Linked DNA regions of Saccharomyces cerevisiae S288C. Changing the gene in region 3 together with the main gene of any one other region gives a genetic interaction. Each region holds a gene or a part of one and is shown on either strand. Other genes may lie near its edges. The genes, in order: OAR1, LAT1, ACH1 and CEM1.

Region 1 (8,116 bases), on a different chromosome or scaffold from region 3:
GTTGACACAAAAAATGGATTCTGCAAGCAAAGAGGAAACATTGGAAAAACTTGATCAAGAAATTACAGTGAACCTGCAGAAGATAGACTCTAACTTGAGTTTCTGCTTTCATAAGATCACCCAGGACATCATCCCACACGTGGCTACATATTCAGAAATATGTGAGCGGATCATGGATAGCACCGAATGGCTGGGGACTATGTTTCAAGAGACTGGGCTGGTGAATTTGCAGGCAAATGCAGCTGCACCAGTGGGAAACGCTCCAGTCAAAAGCCTTGTGAGCAATAATGTTGGTATATTTCCTACATCCGCTGAAGAGGCGAGTAGGCAGTCCCAGACAGACAATGGGCCTAACGAGGCAGATTCAGCTGTACATGTCAACCGGGATGTCCATTCTATGTTTAATAACGACAGTATAGATGATTTCCACACAGCGAATATAACATCCACGGGACAGATATTGAAACTTCCGGACTCTAGCGACGAAGATACTGGTTCAGAGGCGGTGCCTTCAAGGGAGCAAACAGACCTTACAGGCGAGGGTCATGGTGGAGCTGATGATGAGCAAGATGAAAGTACAATACAGAGACAAAGCCGCAAAAGAAAGATTTCGCTACTTTTGCAGCAGCAGTACGGGTCTAGTTCCAGCATGGTACCGTCTCCGATTGTGCCCAATAAAATGCGGAAGCAACTGGCTCATGAAGAACATATTAATAACGACGGCGATAACGACGATGAGAACAGCAATAATATAGAGAGCTCGCCTCTGAAGCAGGGGCACCACCACCCGAAGGGACAAGCGGATGATAACAACGAAGGGCCCGATGAAGAAGAGAGTACGAAAGAAGTACCAAAGCCTGGGACCATCATTCATTTTTCTACGAATAGATAGAATAAATAAGTACATACAATTTTTACTAGTGATGAATATCAGAACGCAGGGTAATGGGCCCGCTATATTTTTTCTTCGATATAGGGAGAGCCACATTCAGAATATTCAGAGTATTTGCATGTAGAAATTTATTCTAAGTGCGCCAGATATATGCCGGGAGAGGTCATTAGAAAACATCTGTTTGTGTTTTAACTTGAATTACAATAACAATAATACCAGTTTTATATGGGGAATATAATGTCAGCTAGTTTTGCGCCTGAATGCACTGACCTGAAGACGAAATACGATAGTTGTTTTAATGAATGGTATAGCGAAAAATTCCTGAAGGGAAAATCCGTTGAGAACGAGTGCTCAAAACAATGGTACGCTTATACTACATGTGTCAACGCAGCTCTCGTCAAACAAGGTATTAAGCCTGCTCTAGACGAAGCTAGGGAGGAGGCGCCGTTTGAAAATGGCGGCAAACTAAAAGAAGTTGACAAATGAAGTATATATTTTAGCACAGAATGTGCATTATTCAACATGTAAATACTAATACTGCAATATCGACTTATAATAATGTATAGTGATCCGTATATTAATAGATCTGTTTCAATTCTTTACCTTTTTAGGATATCCGTCACCCGTGATTCCGTCGGAGGTGAGCACTCGCCCAAATAAATAACGGGAAATGGTGGCAAAAAGTAGTGGCGGGAAAAGGAAAAATTTTCGTTCTCTCCCATATAAACGTTTCATTCCTTTTCCTAAGTCTTTTACAGTAATTTCAGAAACATTCGTATTTTATATTTGATCTTTTGAAGCTACAAGAAAAACTCTTACCAATTACCCCAAAAAAATCACCATCATAAAGTACTTACATATTTATTTTTGTTTGGTCGTTTTCTCAATATAATCTACATCATCATATATATATAATGTCTACACAATTTAGGAAGTCTAATCATAATAGTCATAGTAGTAAAAAACTAAATCCTGCGCTAAAGTCCAAAATAGATACGCTTACAGAATTGTTCCCTGACTGGACGAGTGATGATTTAATTGATATAGTTCAAGAATATGATGATTTGGAAACTATAATTGATAAAATTACTTCCGGCGCAGTGACAAGATGGGATGAAGTAAAGAAACCTGCTAAGAAGGAAAAATATGAAAAAAAGGAGCAACAACACTCATATGTCCCTCAACAACATTTGCCAAATCCAGAAGATGATATTACATATAAGAGTTCTAATAATAGCAATTCTTTTACTTCTACAAAGCATAACAGTAGTAACAATTATACTCAAGCCAGAAATAAGAAGAAGGTACAAACACCACGAGCTCATACAACCGGGAAACATGTTAATCTCGACAAGGGGAAGCACGTACCATCCAAGCCTGTTTCAAACACTACATCGTGGGCAGCAGCTGTTTCTGTAGATACTAAACATGACGTTCCTCAAGATTCAAATGATAACAATAATGAAGAATTAGAAGCACAAGGGCAACAAGCGCAGGAGAAAAATCAAGAAAAAGAGCAAGAAGAGCAACAACAGCAGGAAGGGCATAATAACAAAGAAGAACACAAACAAATAGAGCAACCTTCTTTATCTTCAAAGAAAACAACTTCTAGGACATCTGCTTCACAACCAAAGAAAATGTCGTGGGCTGCAATTGCTACACCAAAGCCAAAGGCTGTTAAAAAGACCGAGTCTCCTCTTGAAAACGTTGCTGAATTGAAGAAAGAAATAAGCGATATTAAGAAGGATGACCAAAAGTCTGAAGCTAGTGAAGAAAAAGTTAATGAACAAGAAACATCTGCACAAGAACAAGAGGAGGAGACTGCTGAACCTTCTGAAGAAAATGAAGACAGAGTCCCTGAAGTGGACGGAGAAGAAGTCCAAGAAGAAGCTGAAAAAAAGGAACAAGTAAAAGAAGAGGAACAGACAGCGGAAGAGCTGGAACAAGAACAAGATAATGTTGCTGCTCCAGAAGAAGAAGTTACAGTTGTTGAAGAAAAGGTTGAAATTAGTGCTGTTATTTCAGAGCCTCCAGAAGATCAAGCTAATACTGTACCTCAACCACAACAACAATCCCAACAACCACAGCAACCACAGCAACCACAGCAACCACAGCAACCACAGCAACCACAGCAACAACAACAACCACAGCAACCACAACAACCACAACAACAACTACAACAGCAACAGCAACAGCAACAACAACCAGTACAAGCTCAAGCTCAAGCCCAAGAAGAACAATTATCTCAAAACTACTATACTCAACAACAGCAGCAACAATACGCTCAACAACAGCATCAGTTACAGCAACAGTATTTGTCCCAACAACAACAATATGCTCAGCAACAGCAACAGCATCCACAACCTCAATCACAACAACCTCAATCACAGCAAAGTCCACAAAGTCAAAAACAAGGGAACAACGTGGCTGCCCAACAGTACTACATGTATCAAAACCAATTTCCTGGATATTCTTATCCAGGTATGTTTGATTCACAAGGATACGCTTACGGTCAACAATATCAGCAACTTGCTCAAAACAACGCTCAAACTAGTGGTAATGCTAACCAATATAATTTCCAACAAGGTTATGGTCAAGCAGGCGCGAACACTGCTGCTGCTAATTTGACTAGTGCTGCCGCTGCTGCTGCCGCTTCTCCAGCTACAGCTCACGCCCAACCTCAACAACAACAGCCATACGGTGGCTCATTCATGCCATACTACGCCCACTTTTACCAACAGTCATTCCCATATGGTCAACCTCAATACGGTGTAGCTGGTCAATATCCATACCAGTTACCAAAGAACAATTACAACTATTACCAAACTCAAAACGGTCAGGAACAGCAAAGTCCAAATCAAGGTGTTGCCCAGCATTCTGAAGACTCTCAACAGAAGCAATCACAACAGCAACAGCAACAGCAACCTCAAGGTCAACCCCAACCTGAAGTTCAAATGCAAAATGGCCAACCTGTTAACCCACAACAACAAATGCAGTTCCAACAATACTATCAATTCCAACAACAACAGCAACAAGCTGCTGCCGCTGCCGCTGCTGCTGCCCAACAAGGTGTACCATATGGCTACAACGGTTATGATTACAATTCTAAAAATTCAAGAGGTTTCTACTAATAAGGGAGAAGTAGAACCTCCCACATAAAAAACGAAATGGGGAATAAAATACAATGAATTTAAATACACATTTTATTACCACTATTATGTTTTACTTTCTTCAATGTTTGGGCAAGGATTCCATATCCTTTTGATGATGTCATATATCATTTAAATTTTGCATATATATATATACGTACGTAAATAATAAAAGGTATATATATGTTGTGTTATCTATCTAGCTAGCTGTGTCTTTATTTTGCGGGGTTTTGGAAATGCCACTTTTTCTGTTTTATATATCACAGCGTCAAAATTTCCGCCGTTACTGTTTGCAACTGATGAGAACTATGGAATACACATGAGTACATTGGTATAGACGTGGGAGAAGAAAAGTCTGGAAATGCATTATTTGCCTGTTGCGATAGTAACAGGTGCCACTAGGGGTATAGGCAAGGCAATATGTCAAAAGTTATTTCAAAAGGGTTTAAGTTGCATTATACTTGGGTCTACTAAAGAAAGTATAGAGCGCACCGCGATAGATAGAGGCCAATTACAATCGGGATTATCATATCAGCGGCAATGTGCTATAGCAATTGATTTTAAGAAATGGCCTCACTGGCTTGACTATGAGTCATATGACGGTATCGAATATTTCAAAGATAGACCGCCCTTGAAACAGAAATATTCCACATTGTTCGACCCATGTAACAAATGGTCAAATAATGAACGCCGCTACTACGTAAACTTATTGATTAACTGCGCAGGCTTGACTCAAGAATCATTAAGTGTAAGAACCACTGCATCTCAAATTCAGGACATAATGAATGTTAACTTTATGAGCCCTGTGACGATGACAAACATCTGTATTAAGTATATGATGAAGTCGCAAAGGAGATGGCCGGAACTCAGTGGTCAATCTGCTCGACCCACCATCGTAAATATTTCCTCCATTCTACACTCCGGAAAAATGAAGGTTCCAGGTACATCTGTTTACTCCGCCTCTAAAGCCGCACTGTCCAGATTTACAGAAGTTTTAGCTGCAGAAATGGAACCAAGAAACATTAGGTGTTTTACGATATCTCCAGGTTTAGTCAAAGGGACCGATATGATCCAAAATTTGCCAGTGGAGGCTAAAGAAATGCTGGAGAGAACCATTGGGGCAAGCGGTACAAGCGCACCCGCTGAAATAGCGGAAGAAGTCTGGTCTCTATACAGTAGAACTGCTTTGGAGACGTAAAAGAAAATCGAAACAAATAATAGATTTGTGTCTGTTCAATGTGTATATCGATGAGCTCAGTGAACACATTTTCACATCACGTTTCTTTTTTTTCTTTTTTCCGCTAAGAAAAATTTTCCAGAATTTTTCAGAGGCAAAACAAAACTCATCGATTTCGCACGCATTTCTCGTAGAATTGATATTTTTTTATTTTTTTATTGGTTTTTTTTTTTTTTTTCACTTTTTTTTCTTCCTTTCATGATATTTATAAGGAGAAGTATTTCAATTGGGACTTAAAAAAAAATTTTATTTTGGTTAATGTTTTCATTCAATGGTTTACTACTTTCATTTTAGCTTTTTAACAATTTTCTTTCTGGGGTCTCAGTTGCGGTTAGCAGATTAACACAGAACATACTATAGACAAATATGATTATTTACAAGGATATCTTCTCTAACGACGAATTGTTGTCTGATGCTTACGACGCTAAGTTAGTTGATGACGTTATCTACGAAGCCGACTGTGCTATGGTCAATGTCGGAGGTGACAACATCGATATCGGTGCTAACCCATCTGCTGAAGGTGGTGACGATGATGTTGAAGAAGGTGCTGAAATGGTCAACAACGTTGTCCACTCTTTCCGTCTACAACAAACCGCTTTTGACAAGAAGTCCTTCTTGACCTACATTAAGGGTTACATGAAGGCTGTTAAAGCTAAGTTGCAAGAAACTAACCCAGAAGAAGTTCCTAAATTCGAAAAGGGTGCTCAAACTTACGTCAAGAAGGTTATTGGTTCTTTCAAGGACTGGGAGTTCTTCACTGGTGAATCCATGGACCCAGATGCCATGGTTGTCATGTTGAACTACCGTGAAGATGGTACCACTCCATTTGTTGCCATCTGGAAGCACGGTATTGTGGAAGAAAAGATCTAAGTCTAGCGAAATTAGAAAAATTTTCGTATTTTGTATTTGAATTTGAGAGTAGGACTCCCCTTTCTCATTTTTAATGTATATGTAACCTCTCTCTCTTTTTTCTCTGCATCAACTTTTTAGCTTCTATTCTTTGATTCTATAGGTATCTAAACTTCCTAATTACTTCTTAACACGCATTAGGACGTTTTTAATTATTCTATGATTTTATTAAGACACGTTTATCAATTGCCGTAGATATGTATAGTTCATCAATATTTTCTTTTCCATTACCCTACAGAACTTTCATGTTTTTTGTTTTCCTGTCTTTTTCTCCAATTACGTGAAAAAAAAATTGAATTGAAATAGCATGAGAAGCTGAGAAACAAGTAGAAATTGACGAAATCCAACGTTCATAAGCATTTTTCAAGAGGTCGCAATTTCACTCGTACACAACTGACCTATTATGGCATGCCTCTCAAGAATTGATGCAAATTTGCTCCAATATTATGAAAAACCTGAACCCAATAATACGGTTGATTTATACGTCAGTAATAACAGTAATAATAACGGGCTGAAAGAAGGAGATAAGTCCATCTCTACACCAGTTCCTCAGCCTTACGGAAGTGAATATTCCAATTGTTTGTTATTGAGTAACTCTGAGTATATCTGTTACCATTTTTCCTCAAGATCAACATTGTTGACATTTTATCCTTTGAGTGACGCATACCATGGGAAGACAATTAATATACACTTACCAAATGCTTCTATGAATCAGAGATACACTTTAACGATACAAGAAGTGGAACAGCAATTACTGGTTAATGTTATCTTAAAAGATGGTTCGTTTTTAACGTTACAACTACCCCTAAGTTTCCTATTTTCATCGGCCAACACTCTCAATGGAGAGTGGTTTCATCTCCAAAATCCCTACGACTTTACAGTTAGAGTTCCTCATTTCCTTTTCTATGTATCACCCCAGTTCTCAGTTGTTTTTTTGGAAGATGGCGGTTTGTTGGGTTTAAAAAAAGTTGACGGCGTACATTACGAGCCTTTACTATTCAATGATAATTCATACTTGAAAAGCCTAACGCGATTTTTTTCTAGGAGTTCTAAATCGGATTACGATAGTGTGATTAGTTGTAAATTATTCCATGAAAGATACTTAATTGTGTTGACTCAGAATTGCCACTTGAAAATTTGGGATTTAACTTCATTTACTTTAATACAAGATTATGATATGGTTTCACAGTCAGATTCAGACCCAAGCCATTTTAGAAAAGTGGAAGCTGTAGGGGAATACCTTTCCTTGTATAACAATACTCTAGTTACATTGTTGCCTTTGGAAAATGGGCTTTTTCAAATGGGCACCTTGTTGGTTGATTCAAGCGGTATTTTGACTTATACTTTTCAAAATAACATCCCCACTAATCTTTCAGCTTCTGCTATTTGGTCAATTGTAGATTTAGTTCTAACGAGACCATTGGAGTTGAATGTCGAGGCTAGTTATTTAAATTTGATCGTTTTATGGAAAAGTGGCACTGCTAGCAAGTTACAGATACTAAACGTAAATGATGAAAGTTTCAAAAACTATGAATGGATAGAATCAGTTAACAAATCCTTAGTAGATTTGCAATCCGAACATGATTTGGATATCGTTACAAAGACTGGAGATGTTGAGAGGGGTTTCTGTAATTTGAAATCAAGATATGGTACCCAAATTTTTGAACGTGCACAGCAAATATTGAGTGAAAATAAGATTATTATGGCTCATAACGAAGATGAAGAATATTTGGCTAATTTAGAAACAATATTGAGAGACGTAAAAACCGCATTCAACGAGGCTTCTTCTATAACACTTTATGGCGATGAAATTATTCTCGTCAATTGTTTCCAACCGTATAATCATTCCCTTTACAAGCTGAATACTACTGTGGAGAATTGGTTTTATAATATGCACTCTGAAACTGATGGTTCTGAATTGTTCAAGTA
Region 2 (3,506 bases), on a different chromosome or scaffold from region 3:
CAAATGGGATCCAGCCATAATGTGCTACATTATGAGTCAAAGTTAAAATTTTGGAAATACGTTCTTTAGATTCATCGCTTAAGATAAAAGATGGTAGGAAACTCATGGTTTATTTGTTAAAAGCTAATTTTGGCAAATATTGAGAGATAAGAGGGAACTAGTTTCTTTCACCGAACAATAATATACGAAAGTAGTATGCTAAACTTTATGCGTTATATCCTATATCCCACTCCTTTGTTAATTTCAACCAATTCCACATGAGGTGAAAAAACAAAGATGTTGACGCACCGTTTGACGTGATTTATTTATATCATTTTGAGACAGAAGAGAGAGAGGATTTAGATTCGAAGACAAGCGAAGTATTTCAGTATAATGTATACGTATTTGAGTATTTGAGTATTTTTTTTTTTTTTTTTTTAATTTTTTATATATACAAAATAACAAATTGATATTTTCTCCAAGATACGCATTTACTGGCGAATTTTATTTTCATTCTAACCTCACAATAGCATTTCCAAAGGATTTTCAATAACAGTTTTCAATTCCTTCATGAATTCTGCACCTTTGGCGCCATCAATGGTTCTATGATCAAAGGTCCCTGTTATGGTAACCTGGTTATCAAAGGAGAATCCGTTCTCAGCAGCGGCGTCTTCCACAGCGACCCTTTCAACAGTAGCGATGGCCAAGATTGTAGACTGTGGTGGGTTGATAATCGAAGTAAACATGTTAACAGCATTATTCATGCCCATATTGGATATGCAAATGGTCCCACCTTGGAATTCCTCTGGTGCCAATTTGTTTATTCTGGCACGCTTGACTAGTTCCTTGATTTCGTTAGAGATTTGCGACAAGCCCTTGGCCTCACAATTCTTGACAATTGGTGTCAATAATCCTGTTGGTGTGGCAACAGCGACTGAGACATCGACATTCTTGAATTTACGGATAACGTTCTCATTAGGTAACCAGTAGGCATTGGCATCTGGCACCCTCTTAGCCGCAACAGTGATGGCTTTTACTAATAGGTCATTAATGGACAGTTTGTACTTGTCGTTTGCTGTAGCGTTCAAGGACTGTCTCAATTTCAAAAGTTTGGAGATGGATATCTTGGAGGAAACGATGTATGATGGAATGCCTTGAGTAGATTGCAATAAACGTTCTCCAATGATGCTTCTCATGGTTGAAATTGGAACATCCTCATATGATGCTGTAGAAGAAGGCGATGGAGCAGAGCCAGCAGTAGTGCTTGAGGTAGCGGCGGCAGGAGTGGCGGCGGCAGCACCACTGGTTTGAGAAGACTGCTTAGACGACTTTTCTAGATATGACTCAATGTCAGCCTTGGTAATTCTACCGCGGGGTCCAGTGCCGTGAACATCCTTCAAAGAAATACCCTTTTCCAAGGCGATAGTCTTGGCAAGTGGAGAGGCAAAAATCCTACCTTGAGGAGCAGCAACGTCAGATTTCTTAGCTTCAGGTGCAGAAGTCTTGGTCTCTTCAGCTGGCGCTTCTTGTTTCTTTTCTGCCTGTGGTTCGGCAGGCTGAGCCTTCGTACTGGTCTTTGAATCAGAACCTGAATCCTCCAGCTTAAAGTCCTTAAAAGCTGGCACATCAGCTTTGTCCTCCACATAGACGGCAATAGGCTTGTTGACAGGAATGTCCTTTGTACCTTCAGGAACTAGAATCTTGGCTAAGTAACCATCTTCTTGGAACTCAAAGTCCATTTGAGCCTTGTCTGTTTCTATTTCGGCAATAACTTCACCGGGAGACAATTGGTCACCTTCCTTCTTAGTCCAAGCAGCAAGATTACCTTGCGTCATCGTAGGAGACAGTGCCGGCATACCAATAATGGTGTGCTCTGGGTACGATGCGTAGCATCTCAATTGCAGTCTCAATGATCTGGTGAGTACTGAACTTCTGGATATTCTTGGAACCACCCTGACAAAGGCAGACATAGTACGCTAATAACTATTAATTTTACTGGATGCAGTTTACAGCAATGGAAGATGTTGAGCGTGAACAAACAGGAAACGTAACAGCCTCTCTTCTAGTCGTTCCGGTTGGTTGTCTCGACCTCTTGTTGTTCTTTGCGTAACACGGGGGGTGAGAAGGGCCGGTCACGCTTCACGGATAGTAGAAACGGCAAAGCATAGTAGCAGATGACTTGTATGAGTTATTGAAGTTATGACATATGTAGTATTACATGAAGATATATAGTATGTGCAAACTGGAGGTGATCACCGGTACCAATTATCTAGGGTTCTCAGCCTCTTCCTTCTAACAGGCTTAGCGACCATCTGGAGCTGCAATTGCTTGGTTTTTTGTGCGGCGTTCTTCCTGCTGTCCATATATTGTTCTTCCCACTTGATAGGGATACTATTCTTACTGGCGTCATCTAACAGAGTCTGGCATGTCTGCCATGAGAATCTTACCATGTTGGCGGGCCAGCCCATAAGACTTGTCTGGTTGCGCTTCAGCCATGCGACTGTCTTCGGGTCGGAGGGGTATCCAGAACCCAGGATCTCATCGGGATCCCTCTTCAAGGATTCGACTAGTATATCTCTGGTCACTTTTGCAACGACACTCGCCACACTGACCATGCAGTAGAGCGAGTCTGCCTTCTTGGCGACCGTAAACTTGACACCAGGAAATCGTTGCTCCAGTTTCTTCTGATAGGACGCTGGTGGTCCAACAGTATCCACATACACGTGACTGAGCTTCACGTTCTGCTTTATCACGCCATCAATGAGTGCCATTGTGACATCGTGCGCCTGCTCATTCAAGTTATAGTTTCTCGTCGGTGGGAACTTGCTCATTCCTCTAGAGATATCCAACGGAGTGATGCACGTAGTTGCGTAGCCGATCTGGGTTAGTTCTTCGTTGTCCTGGTATATCTTGGAAAACAGCATTCTTCTGATGGGATCTGTAAGTTTTTTAGAGTCGTCAAACTCGTAGTTAGGGATTATAGTTTCGTCCTGATATTTCTGTGTAGAATAGGCTACTGCGTAGACCATTGGCCCTAATACGGGCCCTCTGCCAGCTTCATCGATACCCATTATTATTGGAGAGTCATTCTGTTCCAAGAGCGCGCTTGGGACAGGTGAAAAGTACGACTTAGTGTAAGGAGACTCCAAGGATGCTTCTACCGTGGGGGGTACCATTTAATCGTATCAATTTGGTGTGCAGTAGTTGTTTTCAAGGTTTTTCGACACTCTCATTAGCTATAACTGAATATTTATATTGGATTTTTCGCGTAGCGTAGTTTATTGGTGTAGAGAAAAAAAAAAAATTAAATGCCATTCTAATTATTTACAGTATATGTCTGATTTATTTACAAAAGCATTGGCAGGCGTCGCAAAATTTACTGCCTGTTTACATCATCCACACAGCCAAAGGGCAGAACCTCTTCTATCCTCTTCTTGTCGCAAAATAGCATGCACAATCTATCTATGCCAAGGCCAAAGCCACCTACTGGAGGCATACCGTATTTCATCGTCTCAACATACTGGTAG
Region 3 (8,540 bases):
ATGATGGTACACGTCGAGAGGGAATATTTGTATACGGCAGTAAAAGGTGAAGAAAATAATATGACCGGAGAGACGGGATTCAATTTTCATCAAATAATGGAATAAGTAGACGTACAAGGATCGATGCCACAATAAGATTGATAAAAGGGCAACGTAGAAATGGAAAAGAGAAATCATTTAAGTATACTTAAAAGCTTTCAATAACTTTCCGGACAGAAATCTCCAGTAAATTTTATGTGGCCTACACAAGGGTAATCCTGCATAGATTTAATTAAAGTGGCGGTTAAGTCCCGGTTGAATGGACTTCTCAGACTTATCCTTATTTTAATAATGATACAAGATTAAATATGGAATGTTCCACTGCTAATCTAACATTAACTAGAATGCTGTATGTACCAGAATGATTTTTTTTAGTATGTCTTTGTTTACTTATTTAATCTCGGCTTACCTTTTTTTTTATGCACTAATTTAATGATTAGGCAAGCTTATTGTTAAACAAGAAAAAACTTCAAAGTACATTGAAAAAAAAAGGAAATGTAATCAATTCCCCTCAAAATAAATTTTCTTACAAACCCATGATAGTTTGGAATAAGAAACATCATCTATTGACTAATATCCATCTTACTAGTCAACAGATGTGTTGGAATGAAAGTCTATAATATCATCTGTTTAGTTGTATTCGTGTTACTAGTTTATTATCACGTGCGGTGTAAGAAGATGATATTAGGATTTCATTCCAATGGTTTGCAATTACCCTTTTAAGTAGCCATTGATATTTTGTGGCATTTGTTATCTTTCAACACATGTTATTATAAACTACTTACCAAAAAAAGTGTTGTATTACGGGCTCGAGTAATATCGGAGTGTCTTGACAATCCTAATATGAACAGTCTTAGGGAAGTAACCAGTTGTCAAAACGGTTTATCAGATTAATTCACGGAATGTTACTTATCTTATATATTATATAAAATATGAATCATACTAAGTGGTGGAAGCGCGGAATCTCGGATCTAAACTAATTGTTCAGGCATTTATACTTTTGGGTAGTTCAGCTAGGGAAGGCCGGGTTTTATCTCATGTTGTTCGTTTTGTTATAAGGTTGTTTCATATGTGTTTTATGAACGTTCAGGATGACGTATTGTCATACTGACGTATCTCATTTTGAGATACAACACTTCCAAGAAATAAGCGCAAGTGGTTTAGTGGTAAAATCCAACGTTGCCATCGTTGGGCCCCCGGTTCGATTCCGGGCTTGCGCAATTCTTTTTGATTTTTATTTTTATATAAAAAATAAACGACGTTATTTGAATTGCAAAAAAATGGTCTCTAGCGGGATCGAACCGCTGATCCCCGCGTTATTAGCACGGTGCCTTAACCAACTGGGCCAAGAGACCTTGATTACTGGTTAACGTGCTTGAAGAAGAAAAACATCAGGGACAGATGAAAACCTTCATTTACTTAGCATGCATTTTTTTAATCTCCTTTTTCGTTGTAGATATTGTTGAATAAGGATCAATTATATGATATTGATTAGTAGCAACAGTTTTACCATTTTTTAGACAGAATCTGTTGAAGGAATAATCAACGATCATCTATCGATTAGTATCATACACAGTGTAAGAATGACATGGAGTTGAGAAACAGTCATCAAAAGTAATGAAAGCTGAGATGTGATAATTGCTGATTCAATAGGATAATAAACGACTACATGTAAAGCCAAAGAAAAAATAGTATTATCATATAAAATTGCCGGTTCTCTTGTGGAAGTCTTACATCCTTGAGAAGAACTTAGGGTATAATTTACACACCTATATTATTGTCTTTTACGTAAACAGGATCTAAAAAATAATCTTAAAATATGTCTATTTCCCAAATATTAATGAAGTATACAGTAAAATATACGTACATTCACAGAAAAAAAAATGCCTCCATACTATGGAAAAACAGCGTATTGCTCAGTGATTGTAATAACAAAATTTTTGACCTTGAACCAACTTGTCAATAACGATTATTAGAGTTATCAGAACGAGCAAATACGAGCGATGTAAGGATAAATGGTAAAAATGGATACATGGCGTAGCTAGGGATGGCGATGATGAAAAATAAAACAACTAAAAGATGTAAAGCAAATATGAAGTTTATGCTGCCCATGACTGTATTGTGAATTTGTTTGCTGTTGAGATTGTTGTCGTTATTTTCATGCCATTCATTTTATTATGGTCCTAATATTATACACGCTGCTATATATAAGTTACGTATCATAGCGGCACAATCTGTTGAACATTTCTGGCGGCCTGTTGAACCTTCAAATGGGCGAGCTGTTGAACAGTTTTGGCCAACCTGCACCCAGGGCTATTACATACACAACAATTTGCAGTGTCGACTTATCTATCTGCCCTCTTGCTGTCCACATGTGTTGAGTGTCATGTGTAGATTTTTACTTTTTCTACTTCTGTTATCTTTCCAAACTTTGTCTATTAAACCACTCAATTGAACTAATTTCTTTGATGAGCCGTTTTTTTTTTCTTAGTCCTCTGGATCAAACCAAATTGCTTACCAATCCTTCCACCACTGATAGATAACACACATCCGGTTGTTGTTGATAAGTGTATTATGCTAATCGGCGTCCCTTAAATTCAATGGTGAGAAGAAAAAAGCGATGATCCTTGCCTTCAAGCGCGCGCAAACAATAACCACTTATTAGCTTGAAGCTAAATTGCGGAGAAGGCTGTTCACAAACATGGATTCCAATATTAATTCCATAATAGGAGAAAAAAAATCATTGTAAGGTATACATGCATCATTACAGATAAGTTGGGCGGTTCAGAGCTTGGTTTTGTATTACCCTGGCATTTTTACATTGACCTAAGCAAGAGAACTACCCTGACGTCATCAGCGAAATTCGTTGAAATTAATATAAGGGTTGATGACTTTCAACCTCTTAGTTTTTTTTACTAATCACTACTTAATACATAATTATTGTGTAAACATATAAATATACAGTACTACCTGTGAATTAACTAGACGTCATGCGTATTGATTAACTCCCTCCATGAGCGCAAAAAGTATAAATATGCAAGAAAAAACAACGCATTGGATAAAAGCTTTATAAACATAAAATCATAATCATATCATTTCCTTTCTTTTTTTTGTTAAATACTCATCTCTCGGTTTGCGCACAAACACTAGTCAACTGGTTCCCAGCTGTCGACCTTCATTGTACCCTTTTCAGCTAAGTTGGTGTGGAACTTGAAAGCATTCTTTAGCATGTGTGGTTCATGCAAGCAATTGTGCTTTTTAGCGTAATGCTCTGCTCTGTCCAAGTAATCGGTCAACAAAGCTTGATAATCGGGATGAGCACACTTGTTGATGATTTCACGGGCTCTTTCCTTAGGCGATAGACCTCTTAGATCCGCCAAACCTTGGTCAGTGACCAAGATGTCCAGGTCATGCTCAGTTTGATCTACATGAGAGGCCATAGGAACAATGGTAGAGATACCGGTAGGGTCTACTTTAGTTGGTCTTGCAGAGGGGGCATGCATGATGGACAACTTTGCATTTCTCAAGAAATCAGCAGATCCACCCAACCCGTTCAACATACGGGAACCATTCACATTTGTAGAATTGGCGTGCGCGTAAATGTCAACTTCTACTGGGGTATTCATGGCGATGACACCCAATCTACGGATCATTTCCGGATTGTTCGAGACAACTTGAGATCTCAAACACAATCTGTGTTTGAAATTTTCCCAGTTTGCAAAGGCTCTGTCGAAACCCTTTTCAGTCAATCTCACGGAAGTAGCAGTGGCGTAGTCCAAAGATCCGTTCTCGAAAAGATCCAAGAACGAGTCCTGCAGCACTTCCGTCCATACAGTCAAGTGCTTGAATTGGGCGCCAGCAAGCCCTTCAATGACAGCGTTAGCAATGTTACCTATACCACTTTGTAAAGGCAGCAGGTTTTCAGGTAGCCTACCATGTTTTACCTCGTTTCTGAAAAACTCGACCAAATGACCTGCAATAGCCCTGGACATGTCGTCAGAGGGCGTATTTGGTGGGACCTGGTCCCTCATGGTGGACTCCACAATCGCAACAACCTTTTCAGGATCAACCGGGATGGAGTCAACACCACACTTGTCGTCCACTTTCAGATATGGGTATGGTTTCCTGAAAGGTGGGTTCACGGGCATGTCTATATCGTGAATACCCTCGAACGAAGGCGTAGCCGTGTTAACCTCAATAATCACTTTATCACTGACTGTAATGAATTCTGGAGAACCACCGACAGAGGGACCTGGGACGATAGACCCGTCCTCTTTAATGGCCGTTGCCTCGATTATAGTATAATCAAGGATTTTGTTGTCTTTTCTTTCCCTGGTGTAGAACCCGTATGTCAGATCCTGAGGGAACATGGACAGATGTTTATCAAAGAACTCAATTCTACCCTGGTTAATTGCCTTTGCAATGGGTTTCCCTACTTGATGAGGGGCTCTCTTAATGATCATGTCGTGTTCAGCCCAACGGTTTTCCTCTGGACCAGCAGAAGCTCCAACAAAAAGGTTGAATCTCAACTTCCCTTGTAAATTGTTCTTCTCCACGTGATCTATCAGTGCCTCCGGCACTGCCTTGGGAGTACCCACTCCTGTAAAACCGGACCACCCAAGGTACTGACCATTCTTGAACAATGGAATAAGCTCGTGAGCTTCCTTAACTTTTTTCAGATAGGGAGCATACCTAACTCTCTGCTTTAACAAATTAGAAATTGTCATTTTAGTGCAATATGTGAAAAAGAAAAAAAGAAATGTGTTGTTTGTTTTGCCGCTATTGTCTAGTAAGACGGTCTCTTGCTGCTTTGTGTGCTAATGTAAGCCCGGTGGGCACAAGACAAAAGAAGGGGTAGAACACATCTAACGTCTATATATACACAGCAACTTGATTACACATTTGCTCCAGCAAGCGCTTACCGTCCACAATACAGTGGTCATCCATACAATCACTACTTTGGTAGTTTGACGCTCCGATGGGATTGGCTGTTGCGGATGTGGTTGAGGGCGTTGTCCTCGAGGCCAATCAGCAGCGCGCATTGCCCGCCTTTGGCCCGGCGGGCCGCGCGTCGCAGGGGATGATGCTAGTCACCTATATGGATCACCCCTTGTGGTTCTTCATTTTTTTTTTCTTCAATTAACAGCCGCCGACGGCCCGTGGCGCGCGATCACGGAGTTGCGTAACTGCTCCCCTTAGCTCCATATAAGTATTGTCCTTTTATACGTCCGCGTCCTCAGCGGCTAATACGTATGTCATATGTACATATGTATATGTGTACGTATATGTATATGTATACATTGTTCTTCGGGTTGATATTTTAATGATAATGATGGCTAACTAAATATTTCGTTCCAAATGAGTTTCTTGAGGTCTTTCGTCGTTAGTGCCTCCTTGTAGTGATCAAACTCGAAGAAGCTGGGTGGGATGGGTTCGCCTTCAGGTTCGTCGTTTGGATCGTGGTATGTTTGCAAATACGGATGCTCCAGTGCCTCCTTAGCAGTAATCCTCTTCGCAGGGTCAAAAACAAGCATACGCTGTAAAAGATCTATGCCTTTCGGGTTGACTCGAGGGAACATCTTCTCCAGTGGCGCGGCAGGGTACATGGGAAGCGACTTTATGTACTCTCTAGCCCTGGGTGACTCTATACACCGCAAATCATTATCTGAGTGAGGTGTACCGATGATACCGAATATCAGTAGTAGTTGATGGCGATAATCTCTGCCAGGGAAGATTGGCCGTCTTAAGAAAAGTTCAGCGAGAATACATCCGCAGGACCACACGTCCATGGCCCTTGAGTATTTGGCAGAGGTTAACATCACCTCTGGCGCCCTGTACCAACGTGTGGCCACATACTCGGTCATGCCGCTTTGCTGACCTGTGGGCTCTGAATTGTCCGCGGCTGACTCGTCAATGATTCTTGCTAAACCGAAATCACATACTTTCAAGTCACAGTTGGAGTTTATGAGAAGGTTGGAGGGCTTTAAATCACGATGGATGACGTTCGAACCATGCAGCACTTTCACTGCTCTCAAGGTTTGGTATATAAAATATTGTATATGATCGTCACTCAGCATCTGGGTGGAGATTACACGGTGTAAATCTGTCTGCATTAGCTCTTGAATTATGTAGACCTCATTGAAGTTTTCGAACGAGTCAGGGCGTTGAATGTTGAAGATTGTTATGATATTTTCGTGCTTGAAGTGCTTCAGGATCTTTATTTCACGCAGCGTACGTAATGCGAACAAAGGCTTATCGAATGGTTCGATCTTTTTTATTGCCACGATTTCTCCCGTGGGCTTATGCGTTGCAGAACATACCACACCGTATGCACCCTCTCCCAGTAACGACTTCAACTGGAAGTCACTGGATATATTGTATACAATTCTCTTTGGCATATTATTTTCCTTTCTTTTTCTCTGCCTTATTTCCTTGTAGTTCAAACGAACTAGCTATTAGAAGAAAGAAAATGATTACAACGTATATATAGTTTCTGAGAGGCAAGAGTAAAAAGTTATGATATATTAGTATGTTGCTTTTCTGCAATTGTTTCAATGCCCTGTAAAAAACCGCATCATCTAAAATCTGAGAGAATGCAGAAACAAAAAAAAAAAAAGTAAAAATTTCGAGTAAAAGAATTTTGAGTTCCAGGGTGAAACAGATCTAAAACTCAAGAGCTTATGCATTGCTTGTAGGTACATCACATTTTACTTCAGAAAGATAAAAGAGTATGTGAAAGTAAACTGCCCTCTCCAGTTAACTCTTCCCAAACTAAAAAGTATCCGCCTGTGCGGACTACAAGCACTACCGCCCCTTGAATGAACACCAAAAGATGTGTGTAAGTTAAAAAGTCCGAACGAATTTATCCTTATGTATGTTCTTTTGAACGTCAAGTAGTCAATCTCTCCAACTACTCGGGTCTTTATATGGATCGCGTGATGTTTTAAGCCTTCTTTCCTCTAGTTTAGTGCAGTCGCTGCTTTTTTCTCGGGCTGAGTACGGCGAAAAGAAGGAAAAACCAAGGTCAAAAAATAACCTCTAAATAACAGCATGATGCAACAGCTCAAAAGACCTCTCAAGAAGCACAAAAAAAGGAGGCGAGTAGGTGGTACTATTTCATTCTACTAAGATCTTTAAAGCAATTCCTTTCCGGTTTTTTTCTCAACTACCGTACTCTTTTTCCTTTTTTATTTTGCCCTTAGATTGTATTATAAAGCTCTGTATATCTGGAAAAGCCCTGAAGTGTCCAGTAGTCATCACACGTTATGATATTACTTCATTTTGTCTATTCTCTTTGGGCCTTACTTCTCATTCCTTTAACTAATGCCGAAGAATTCACCCCCAAAGTGACAAAGACTATCGCGCAAGATTCATTTGATATATTAAGCTTTGATGATTCCAACACTTTAATTAGAAAACAAGACACCTCCGTTACTATAAGCTTTGACGATGGTGAAACATGGGAAAAAGTTGAAGGCATTGAAGGCGAAATCACTTGGATATACATCGACCCCTTCAATAGACATGACAGAGCCGTTGCAACGGCAATGAATGGGTCGTACCTTTATATAACCAATGATCAAGGTAAGTCATGGGAGCGTATAACGCTACCTGACTCCGGAGAAAGTATTTCACCTCGTGAATGCTATATAGAAACCCATCCCTTGAATAAGAACTATTTTCTTGCAAAGTGCAACTATTGTGAGAAAACAGAAGTAAACAATGACAATGAAGAGAATTCGGGGGACGAAGAGGGACAATTTGAAATATTTAATATTACACGTTGCACAGACAAGGTTTTTGCAAGTAATGATGGTGGAAAATCCTTTTCTGAGATCAAGTCTTCTCTAGAAAGGAACGAAAATAGTCCTATCAGCATTTCTGATTGTGGCTTTGCCAAGACCAGCAAAGATTCTGACCTTGAAAGTAGTGATACCTCAATAATCTGTCTTTTTCAAAATATGCAGCTTATTATGGATGAGTTTAGTTCTCCTTACACCGAAAGTAAATTGGTCCTAACTACGGACTGGGGCAAATCACTAAAAGAATTTGACCAATTTAAAGATAAGGTCGTCAATGGTTACAGGATATTGAAATCTCACATGGTTGTCTTAACCCAGGGCGACAGATATAATGATATGTCTTCCATGGATGTGTGGGTATCAAATGATCTGTCAAACTTTAAAATGGCTTACATGCCTACTCAGTTAAGGCATTCTATGCAAGGAGAAATATATGAGGACGCTATGGGAAGAATTATCTTGCCCATGAGTAGGGAAAGAAGTGATCAAGAGGAGGATAAGGGCATCGTGTCTGAAATTTTAATTTCCGACTCACAAGGGTTAAAATTTTCCCCCATCCCATGGACCGCAAATGAGGTGTTTGGTTATATTAATTTTTATCAACCTACTTACTTGAAAGGAACGATGATTGCCTCACTTTACCCTCTATCTAGGCGTCGTAACCGTAAAGGAAAAGCCAAAGGAGTAAAGAGTAAGGGG
Region 4 (8,721 bases), on a different chromosome or scaffold from region 3:
GAAGGTACTCGTCATCTTTTAGCTGCCGCATACATGTACACACACACACACACACACACGCACGCACATATATATATATATATATATATATATATATATATATTAAACATGATGGCAAAAAACCGAACTAAGTGCTCCTGTTCTATTTTTATATTCTTGCTTTTCATATTTCTCTAGCTGTATATTACCTTTAGCATATTCAAACATCTTAACCGGAAAATATCTCAGCAAAAAAAACAGCAACAGTCAGAGTAAAAATTGCAAGATGATTGACGATACTGAGAACTCCAAAATTCATTTGGAAGGTAGCCATAAAACAGGAAAGTATACGGGCTATGGTACTACACATAAAATCAGAGCTCAGTTAAACTTTAATGATGAAAAGAAATGGAAGAAGTTTTCTAGCAGAAGACTAGAACTCATTGACTCATTTGGCTTGAGCCAGCACAAAGCAAGTGAACAAGATGATAATATAAGACAAATAGCCACCATATTAAGGAGTGAATTTGAGTACCCTGATACGTTTTCGGCAGAATTTGAAAAGTTGGTTACCGCTGCTGTTCAATCGGTGAGAAGAAACAGGAAACGTTCCAAGAAAAAATTATTAGACTCTAAGAAGAAAATAGCCCGTGGTAAAGTTCAAAAAATTCCTTTGTCTCCCCCCAGCTCAAGTAATATGGGGTCTTGTTCAGCTTCCAATGCATCAAGCTCTGACGAAGAAGCCAGCGTGAAGGAAGAACCTGCTGAGCACGCTCTTCCTTCTCTTAATACTATAACATCACAAAAATTGTTACCTTATCCGAATGGCCGCACTCTTCCACCTGTACCAACTCAAGTTCGCTCTTTACTTAAGAAGAACGCATCTCTTCTTCGTGATCCATCGGCACCGTATGCGCACGGCGGCGATGAAAAATTACAAAAGTTTGATATAGAAGATCAGCCTCTAGAAAGTGAACAAGAATACGACTTTATTGCCAAATCAATAATTGTTGAAATTGTAAATAATGCTATTCCACTACCTGAACAAATTCAAAGAGATAAGTTCATTAGACCAAATTTAACGAAAAAAAAAGGGTGCCAAAGCAAAGTTGTAATATCCAACAACTTGAGAAAACTCATCCTGTCAAAGATACATAACTCAAGGACGTGCTTGGAGATGTCTAAGGATGAAAGAAATTTGGATTCTTTTGCTAATCTAGAAACGCTGGGCAAAAATTCACTAATGGCTTCCATTTCCCTTGTGGTAGAAAACAGCTTTTCACATTTACCGTCTTCTACTAAGCAATATCTTACTGAACGGCTGTCATCAATCGAATTTTTGACTATTCTATCGCAAAGGCTATTTATGCCCGCTACACGTCAACTATTCGCTGACCTATCACAAGAAAAAATTCAGGTGAGAGTGCTGAATCTCATACTGGGATCTCTTGTCAAAGATTATGGGTTTGATGCATCTTTGGCACCAATCAACGAAATTATCTATCACATGACACTCCATCAATATCCCTTGGTTTGTAGTAATAAACAGTCCAATCCAATGAGGCCACACTCCACATCTGAGGTCTTGAGTGCACATTCTTCAACGAAAGATGCAAGCACTCCCGGTAAAGAAGAGCCTCGAGTGACGAGGTCAAGCACATCGGCAGATAGCACTATCATTACATTGCCTTCAATTGAAGTCCCAAATACGTACGATGATGACAGGTTAAAGATGTTGAGCGCGATATCGTTGCAGATTGAAAATTCCACCTTTTCCAAACCATTCAGTACTATTTCAAAATAAATAGGCCCGCTTGCATCATCCCCACCTGCATTACTATGAACTATTTATCATAGCTTATTTTTCCTCTATCATCATTGTAACTTGTACAAGAATGTTCAGTCTGTAAATCTCGCCGCTCATTCTCTACTAGCACTTTACAACGTTGACAGCCACTGTATGTGTAATACAGTGAACCGCCGACTCTTCGGATTTAATAACACAGATTTATTTAGAATAATCTACACATGTTTACGTATGCAACAAATTTTGCACCTTCATATACAAACAACTGCGGTCGTTTAAAAAGTGGGAAAGAACCGAAACTAGAATGAAAAACTCCACCAAAACGGCTTGAGCCTTTATCTTCTGTAACCAGAGCGGTTGCCTCTCCTGTTTTTACTTACTCTGGAGCGGTTGTTTGCATTTTTGTTTCTATTTTTAAATTTACCGTTATTGCCACTTTCAGGTTCATTTTTCCTACTGACAAGGCCCAGTTCTTCAGCCAACTTGCTATTCAAGTCAACACCAAACTTCTCCACACGATTTATCTGTCTTTGTAAAGAGTCAATATCCGCTTGATCTTGACCGAATTTGTTAGCGCGGTGCAGTTTCTTATTTAAAAGATCCAATGCTTTGGCCTTAATTTCTTCTGGTGACAAAGCGGGAGCAGCAGTGGAAGCAGCAGCTTGTTCGTTCTCTGAAGCAGTAGCAGAAGGTCCATCAGAGGGCTTTTGAACGTCCTTATTTTCCTCCTTGGGTTCGTTTGTTTCTTTAGGCTCGCTTGAAACTTCCTTTTTTTCAGTAATGTTCTGGGAGGCTGGTTCTTCTATCGCCGCAGGTTCTGACCCTTGTTCCTGGTTTTGTTCCTGTGGAGAAACTTCACTTTCACCCTTTGATTCTTCATCGTCCTTTATCAGTCTTTGAACTAGTTCATTCTTCAATCCGCCTACAGACAGATTTCTCTTGGTCAGTAAATCTTTCAATTGAACAACAGTAAGGGAAGAATAATCTGCCATTGTAAGTGCTTGTGCTGGCTCCAAGAACAATTCTAGTGGTGAAAAAAATTCTATTCAATATACAGATATCTTTGTAACTTCTGAAAGTAGCGCATCCTGAAAGGACACATTTGAAGAGTCACTATTCAACTTTCTTCTCCCATTCAGCATTATCACGCCCTTCCACCAACGCTGGTTGCATTGTGTTTTCTTACTTCGGCTAGAGACGCCGGGTAATAAAATATATATCCTCGAATGAACCGCTGGCCTCGGCCATTTTCATATGACTTCATATCATTAATATGGCCGTAGGTTAAGCAATGCTACGTGAAAGATACCAATTCCAATCGTCTGCTTTCTCTCAAGAGGAGACTTTGCGTTCTTTAAAGGAGCAGAGAAAGAGGGAAACGGTGAAAAACTTCAATATTGATAACATCCATCAGCGTCTAAATTCCTATGCCTCCTTCGAAAATGGTCAATGTTATACCCTCTCCCATTAGATATTACCGTAGCGTACGTATTTGGCCCTGTCCTTTGGGGTTTGGCCTTCTCAAGTATTTTGGCACCTCGCCCTGAACGAAAAGCTGGCACTTTGTCCCCAGCCAAACTCTTCTCTCTAATATCGTCTTTAACGACAAGGTAAAAAGATTTCTGCAGTGTTCCGTCTGCGTCATCATCTGTGCCCCACAATCCGCGGCGTTTCCGTGTAAGCCGTCAAGTGAGGACTTTTCGGATGCTGAAAGAAAGTACGCTCGGAAAAACTACATAGCTGCCCCCCTAAACGGGCCTCCCACGTGACGTAAAGTAGGAATAATAAGAAGCCAAGTCGTTTCTTTTTATTCTAAATAAGTTCGTTTCTTTTGATGTTGTCATTTTCAGAAATATATATATATGCGCTTAAATACACAAGCTAAAACAACATAGTTAGGATTGCCAAAGGTTTCTTTTCTACTCAATTTGGTCTAACTCTTTTCATATTAATAGCGCCAACCAGCTAGTGTTTACCAGATCAGTGGAAAAACATAAAACAATAAAAACAATATTCGGAATGGGATTGACTACTAAACCTCTATCTTTGAAAGTTAACGCCGCTTTGTTCGACGTCGACGGTACCATTATCATCTCTCAACCAGCCATTGCTGCATTCTGGAGGGATTTCGGTAAGGACAAACCTTATTTCGATGCTGAACACGTTATCCAAGTCTCGCATGGTTGGAGAACGTTTGATGCCATTGCTAAGTTCGCTCCAGACTTTGCCAATGAAGAGTATGTTAACAAATTAGAAGCTGAAATTCCGGTCAAGTACGGTGAAAAATCCATTGAAGTCCCAGGTGCAGTTAAGCTGTGCAACGCTTTGAACGCTCTACCAAAAGAGAAATGGGCTGTGGCAACTTCCGGTACCCGTGATATGGCACAAAAATGGTTCGAGCATCTGGGAATCAGGAGACCAAAGTACTTCATTACCGCTAATGATGTCAAACAGGGTAAGCCTCATCCAGAACCATATCTGAAGGGCAGGAATGGCTTAGGATATCCGATCAATGAGCAAGACCCTTCCAAATCTAAGGTAGTAGTATTTGAAGACGCTCCAGCAGGTATTGCCGCCGGAAAAGCCGCCGGTTGTAAGATCATTGGTATTGCCACTACTTTCGACTTGGACTTCCTAAAGGAAAAAGGCTGTGACATCATTGTCAAAAACCACGAATCCATCAGAGTTGGCGGCTACAATGCCGAAACAGACGAAGTTGAATTCATTTTTGACGACTACTTATATGCTAAGGACGATCTGTTGAAATGGTAATCCTCTAAAATCGAACATATTTGAGTAATAATTCTCAGATACAGTCCTATTCTATATTCGCCACAAAACAAGTAATGATGCTAAAAAACGACACATTTATAAAATCACATCTTATTGATTAAATAAATACGTAGATAGATTTTTTTTTTTAAAACATATAGTGTGCTATTATTTCTGACTCTGTCTCATCTCAGAAAAATAAATGATAAAAAAGGAAGTAAAATCCTTAAACGTTATCAGGTTATTAGCAACTTGAAAGTGACAGGAGCCACAACGGATTAAAATTTAATTTCTAGTAAAGAAATGTCAAGAAGAGTGGTTATCACAGGATTGGGCTGTGTAACGCCGTTGGGAAGATCATTAAGTGAGTCATGGGGGAATCTGCTCTCTTCCAAAAATGGACTCACACCAATCACATCTTTGCCCAACTATAATGAGGACTACAAACTCAGAGAAAAAAGTATCCCATCAACGATAACAGTGGGGAAGATTCCAGAGAATTTTCAAAACGAAAATTCAGCCATCAATAAACTGCTGTTCACTAGCCAGGATGAGAGAAGAACCTCAAGCTTTATCAAGCTAGCACTACGTACAACTTATGAAGCGCTTCACAATGCTGGTCTCTTGAACCCAAATGATATAACCATCAATACATCTCTGTGCAATCTGGATCACTTTGGTTGCCTGATAGGTTCTGGTATAGGATCCATTCAAGACATATACCAAACTTCTCTACAATTCCATAACGACAATAAAAGAATAAATCCATATTTCGTCCCTAAAATCCTTACAAATATGGCAGCTGGTAATGTTTCCATCAAGTTTAACCTTAGAGGATTATCCCATAGTGTTTCCACAGCATGCGCAACAGGTAATAACTCCATTGGCGATGCATTCAATTTTATTCGGTTAGGCATGCAAGACATCTGTGTCGCCGGTGCAAGTGAAACGAGTTTGCATCCGTTAAGTTTAGCAGGTTTCATCAGAGCAAAGTCGATTACTACAAACGGGATCTCTAGACCCTTTGATACACAACGTTCTGGATTCGTACTTGGTGAAGGATGCGGAATGATTGTCATGGAATCGCTAGAACATGCTCAAAAGAGAAATGCAAACATAATTTCTGAGCTCGTGGGCTATGGTTTAAGCAGTGATGCCTGCCATATTACCTCCCCTCCTGCTGATGGAAATGGTGCCAAAAGAGCAATAGAGATGGCTCTAAAAATGGCTAGATTAGAACCAACTGATGTTGACTACGTCAATGCACATGCTACATCAACTTTACTAGGCGATAAAGCAGAGTGTCTGGCAGTAGCCTCAGCACTCTTACCAGGAAGATCCAAAAGCAAGCCACTGTACATATCCAGTAACAAAGGTGCAATTGGCCATCTTTTAGGTGCAGCTGGCGCCGTAGAAAGTATATTTACAATTTGTTCCTTGAAGGATGATAAGATGCCGCATACCTTAAACCTGGACAATGTTCTGACTCTAGAAAATAACGAGGCCGATAAGCTACATTTCATAAGAGACAAACCTATTGTGGGAGCTAATCCGAAGTACGCATTATGCAACAGCTTCGGATTTGGAGGAGTTAACACATCTCTTCTCTTCAAGAAATGGGAAGGGAGTTAATATTATTAAACTTATATATATATCCCATTATAATCGTTTTTGAATTATATGCTATCTATTCGAATGTCGAGATTTATCCATTAAAACCAATCATTTCAATGATTAGCAAAAATATTAATCAATTAACATTTAGTCATCGACCGAAATATTTGAGTTCTAAAGGTCTTACAATGTTATAGATGATGAACGCCCAACTTCCGCCTAACTCGAACCCAATGTCACCGCCGTACTCTCCGATCAAACGACTGATCTCACCAACCCAATAAGTTTGGCACATACCCAACGCTACTCCAAAGGCACCAGCAATTAAGGCAGCAGTACCTGCGATACCGATAGGTAGATGCTCCCAATTATCCCAATCATCAATATTGTAAGCACTGAAGGAACGCCTATAAATAAAATGCTCTGAACATGCAATGGCAATATAAATAGCCAAATAATAACCAATGGAATCCATAAAATTCTCCATAAAGCCGTCAAAGTAATAGGTAGCAGGGATGGAAATACCTAAAGTGGCAGCATTACCTGCCATTGTCCAGACTACTCTTGGTATTTTAGCCAAAGGTGCCCACAAAGCTTGAGCGGATAAAGCGACAGTGTACATTCCAGGGACATTATTAGCAACAGTTGAAAGAGCCAACAAAACACAGCAGAATTGACCGAATCCGTTTAGAGAGTTAGGGACCAGGATAGCATATATGACACCACCCATGGCGTTTTTATCATAATATGACTTCCAGGTTGGGTCATTAAGGGCCGCCATACCGCAAGCAGCACCAAGAATCATGGTGAAAAATAGAGGGAACGCTAGACCGGCTACTACGGAAAAAAAAATTTTGTATTTACTTGTGGTCTTTGGCATATAAACAGTGTAATCTGCTGCATAAGTCGCCCAACCCGCAGCTGACCCAAAAACAGATGAACCAAAAGAAAGAACACCACCTGCAGTAGTTGCACCCCCTACCCATTCACCACCTTTAAATTTTCCTGATCTCGATAGTTGGGCAATAATGACCAAAAAGGCAGCAAAATTGGGTACCCACGACCATTTTTCGTATGCATGAACGACACTGTAACCAAAAAAAGTCACAAGCACGGTACCACCAGCAATAATCAAACAACCTGCCCAAATAGGACAGTTGTGCCCAGAGCCTTCATTCACCATATTCAAAAGTTGAGCAGAAACAGAAATATTTAAAACACACCAACCGACACAAGCAATGACATTAACAAGAGAGAAAAATCTTGCTGTGATGTTACCAGCCAAATATCTCGATAGAATCATCTGTCTTAGGCCCAGTTCTACCCCAAAAAGTGAGAATAATGCAACAGGGATCAAACCCAAAATATTGAAAAAAATGATAACTAAAACACTTTGGCCGAAATTTAGGCCAAATACTAGAGGACCCAAGGCACCTACGGAATAGGCTACAATCACCATATTAGCTGAAAACCATATAGTGGCGGCATTGAGTATCGAGTCATCATTTTTTTCATCTTCTGTAACTGGTTCAATACCTTTCGTCTCAGCATTTAAAGCAGCTGCAATCCTATTGAAAAAGGACGGCTTATTATCAATGAATTCGTTGGTTCTATGCAATTCTACACCCTCATAGTATACATCAGCGGCGGAAGATTTTGTGTCCAGAGCTCCAGATTCGAGGTCCCTTAGTTCACTCCCCGCATCTTTTATATCGACCATTGACATGGCTAACTTTTCTGGCATACTTTTCTTCGATATTTTAGTCACCTTCTGAAACACCCTCCATTTCAATCTGACAAGCGTATCTTATAACAAACAATTTGGTTATCATGTTATATATTTGTCTGGTTTACAAATCACCAGTGCAAAAACAGACTACATTTATGTCATCTGCATGCATTAGGCTTTCAACAGACTAGAAATCAAAATTTATCAACTAAACAGAAATAATGCAACGTCTCATAAAGTATTTACTGGCGATCGGAGTAACTCTTAGAACCACAGTCACGTGATATGCTTATCAGAATTGCGTTATCAACTCAAATGAATGAGCCGTGATAATTTAATTAACATACATGCTATTTTTTAATGATTTGCATACTAGAGCCATTTATGTTACATTACAAAGACTAAAATAGCGAAACATTTAAATGAACTTTCGTTAACGACCAAAGTACTTGAGCTCAAAGGGTCTAGCAATGTTGTAAACTATAAATGCCCAACTTAGTCCTAACTCGAATCCAATATCACCACCGTAGTCTCCGATCAAACGGCTGATCTCGCCAACCCAATAAGTTTGGCACATACCCAACGCTACGCCAAAGGCACCAACAATTAAGGCAGCAGTACCTGCAATGCCGATAGGTAGACGTTCCCAACTATCCCAATCATCAACATTGTAAGCACTGAAGGAACGCCTATAAATAAAATGCTCTGAACATGCAATGGCAATATAAATAGCCAAATAATAACCTATGGAATCCATGAAGTAATTCATGAAGGTAGAAAAATAGTAGCAGGCAGGAATGGCAATACCCAGTGCGGCCGC

The links.
Region 1: mutations in ACH1 (region 3) and OAR1 together harm fitness more than expected from each alone (negative genetic interaction), as found in Saccharomyces cerevisiae (3 studies listed by BioGRID).
Region 2: mutations in ACH1 (region 3) and LAT1 together harm fitness more than expected from each alone (negative genetic interaction), as found in Saccharomyces cerevisiae (4 studies listed by BioGRID).
Region 4: mutations in ACH1 (region 3) and CEM1 together harm fitness more than expected from each alone (negative genetic interaction), as found in Saccharomyces cerevisiae (3 studies listed by BioGRID).

What each region holds. Positions count from the first base shown.
Region 1 is NC_001143.9:332,444-340,559, reverse strand, and holds OAR1 (3-oxoacyl-[acyl-carrier-protein] reductase (NADPH)), read left to right. Parts: upstream 1-4,402; coding exon 4,403-5,239; downstream 5,240-8,116. Other genes in the region: ASK1 (Ask1p), read left to right, coding at 14-892; MDM35 (Mdm35p), read left to right, coding at 1,118-1,378; DNA damage-responsive RNA polymerase-degradation factor DEF1, read left to right, coding at 1,807-4,023; TMA19 (Tma19p), read left to right, coding at 5,645-6,148; NUP120 (Nup120p), read left to right, coding at 6,591-8,116. UniProt on the Saccharomyces cerevisiae protein: Involved in biosynthesis of fatty acids in mitochondria.
Region 2 is NC_001146.8:489,966-493,471, reverse strand, and holds LAT1 (dihydrolipoyllysine-residue acetyltransferase), read right to left. Parts: upstream 1,950-3,506; coding exon 501-1,949; downstream 1-500. Other genes in the region: TOM7 (Tom7p), read right to left, coding at 1-106; ribonuclease H2 catalytic subunit RNH201, read right to left, coding at 2,232-3,155; lysine--tRNA ligase MSK1, read right to left, coding at 3,356-3,506. UniProt on the Saccharomyces cerevisiae protein: The pyruvate dehydrogenase complex catalyzes the overall conversion of pyruvate to acetyl-CoA and CO(2).
Region 3 is NC_001134.8:190,348-198,887, reverse strand, and holds ACH1 (acetyl-CoA hydrolase), read right to left. Parts: upstream 4,767-8,540; coding exon 3,186-4,766; downstream 1-3,185. Other genes in the region: mitogen-activated serine/threonine-protein kinase FUS3, read right to left, coding at 5,376-6,437; PEP1 (type I sorting receptor), read left to right, coding at 7,305-8,540. UniProt on the Saccharomyces cerevisiae protein: Presumably involved in regulating the intracellular acetyl-CoA pool for fatty acid and cholesterol synthesis and fatty acid oxidation. It may be involved in overall regulation of acetylation during melatonin synthesis.
Region 4 is NC_001137.3:275,767-284,487, reverse strand, and holds CEM1 (fatty acid synthase CEM1), read left to right. Parts: upstream 1-4,861; coding exon 4,862-6,190; downstream 6,191-8,721. Other genes in the region: VHR2 (Vhr2p), read left to right, coding at 266-1,783; THO1 (Tho1p), read right to left, coding at 2,122-2,778; glycerol-1-phosphatase GPP2, read left to right, coding at 3,806-4,558; FCY22 (purine-cytosine permease), read right to left, coding at 6,324-7,916; FCY21 (purine-cytosine permease), read right to left, coding at 8,335-8,721. UniProt on the Saccharomyces cerevisiae protein: Possibly involved in the synthesis of a specialized molecule, probably related to a fatty acid, which is essential for mitochondrial respiration. Is essential for oxygen uptake and the presence of cytochromes A and B.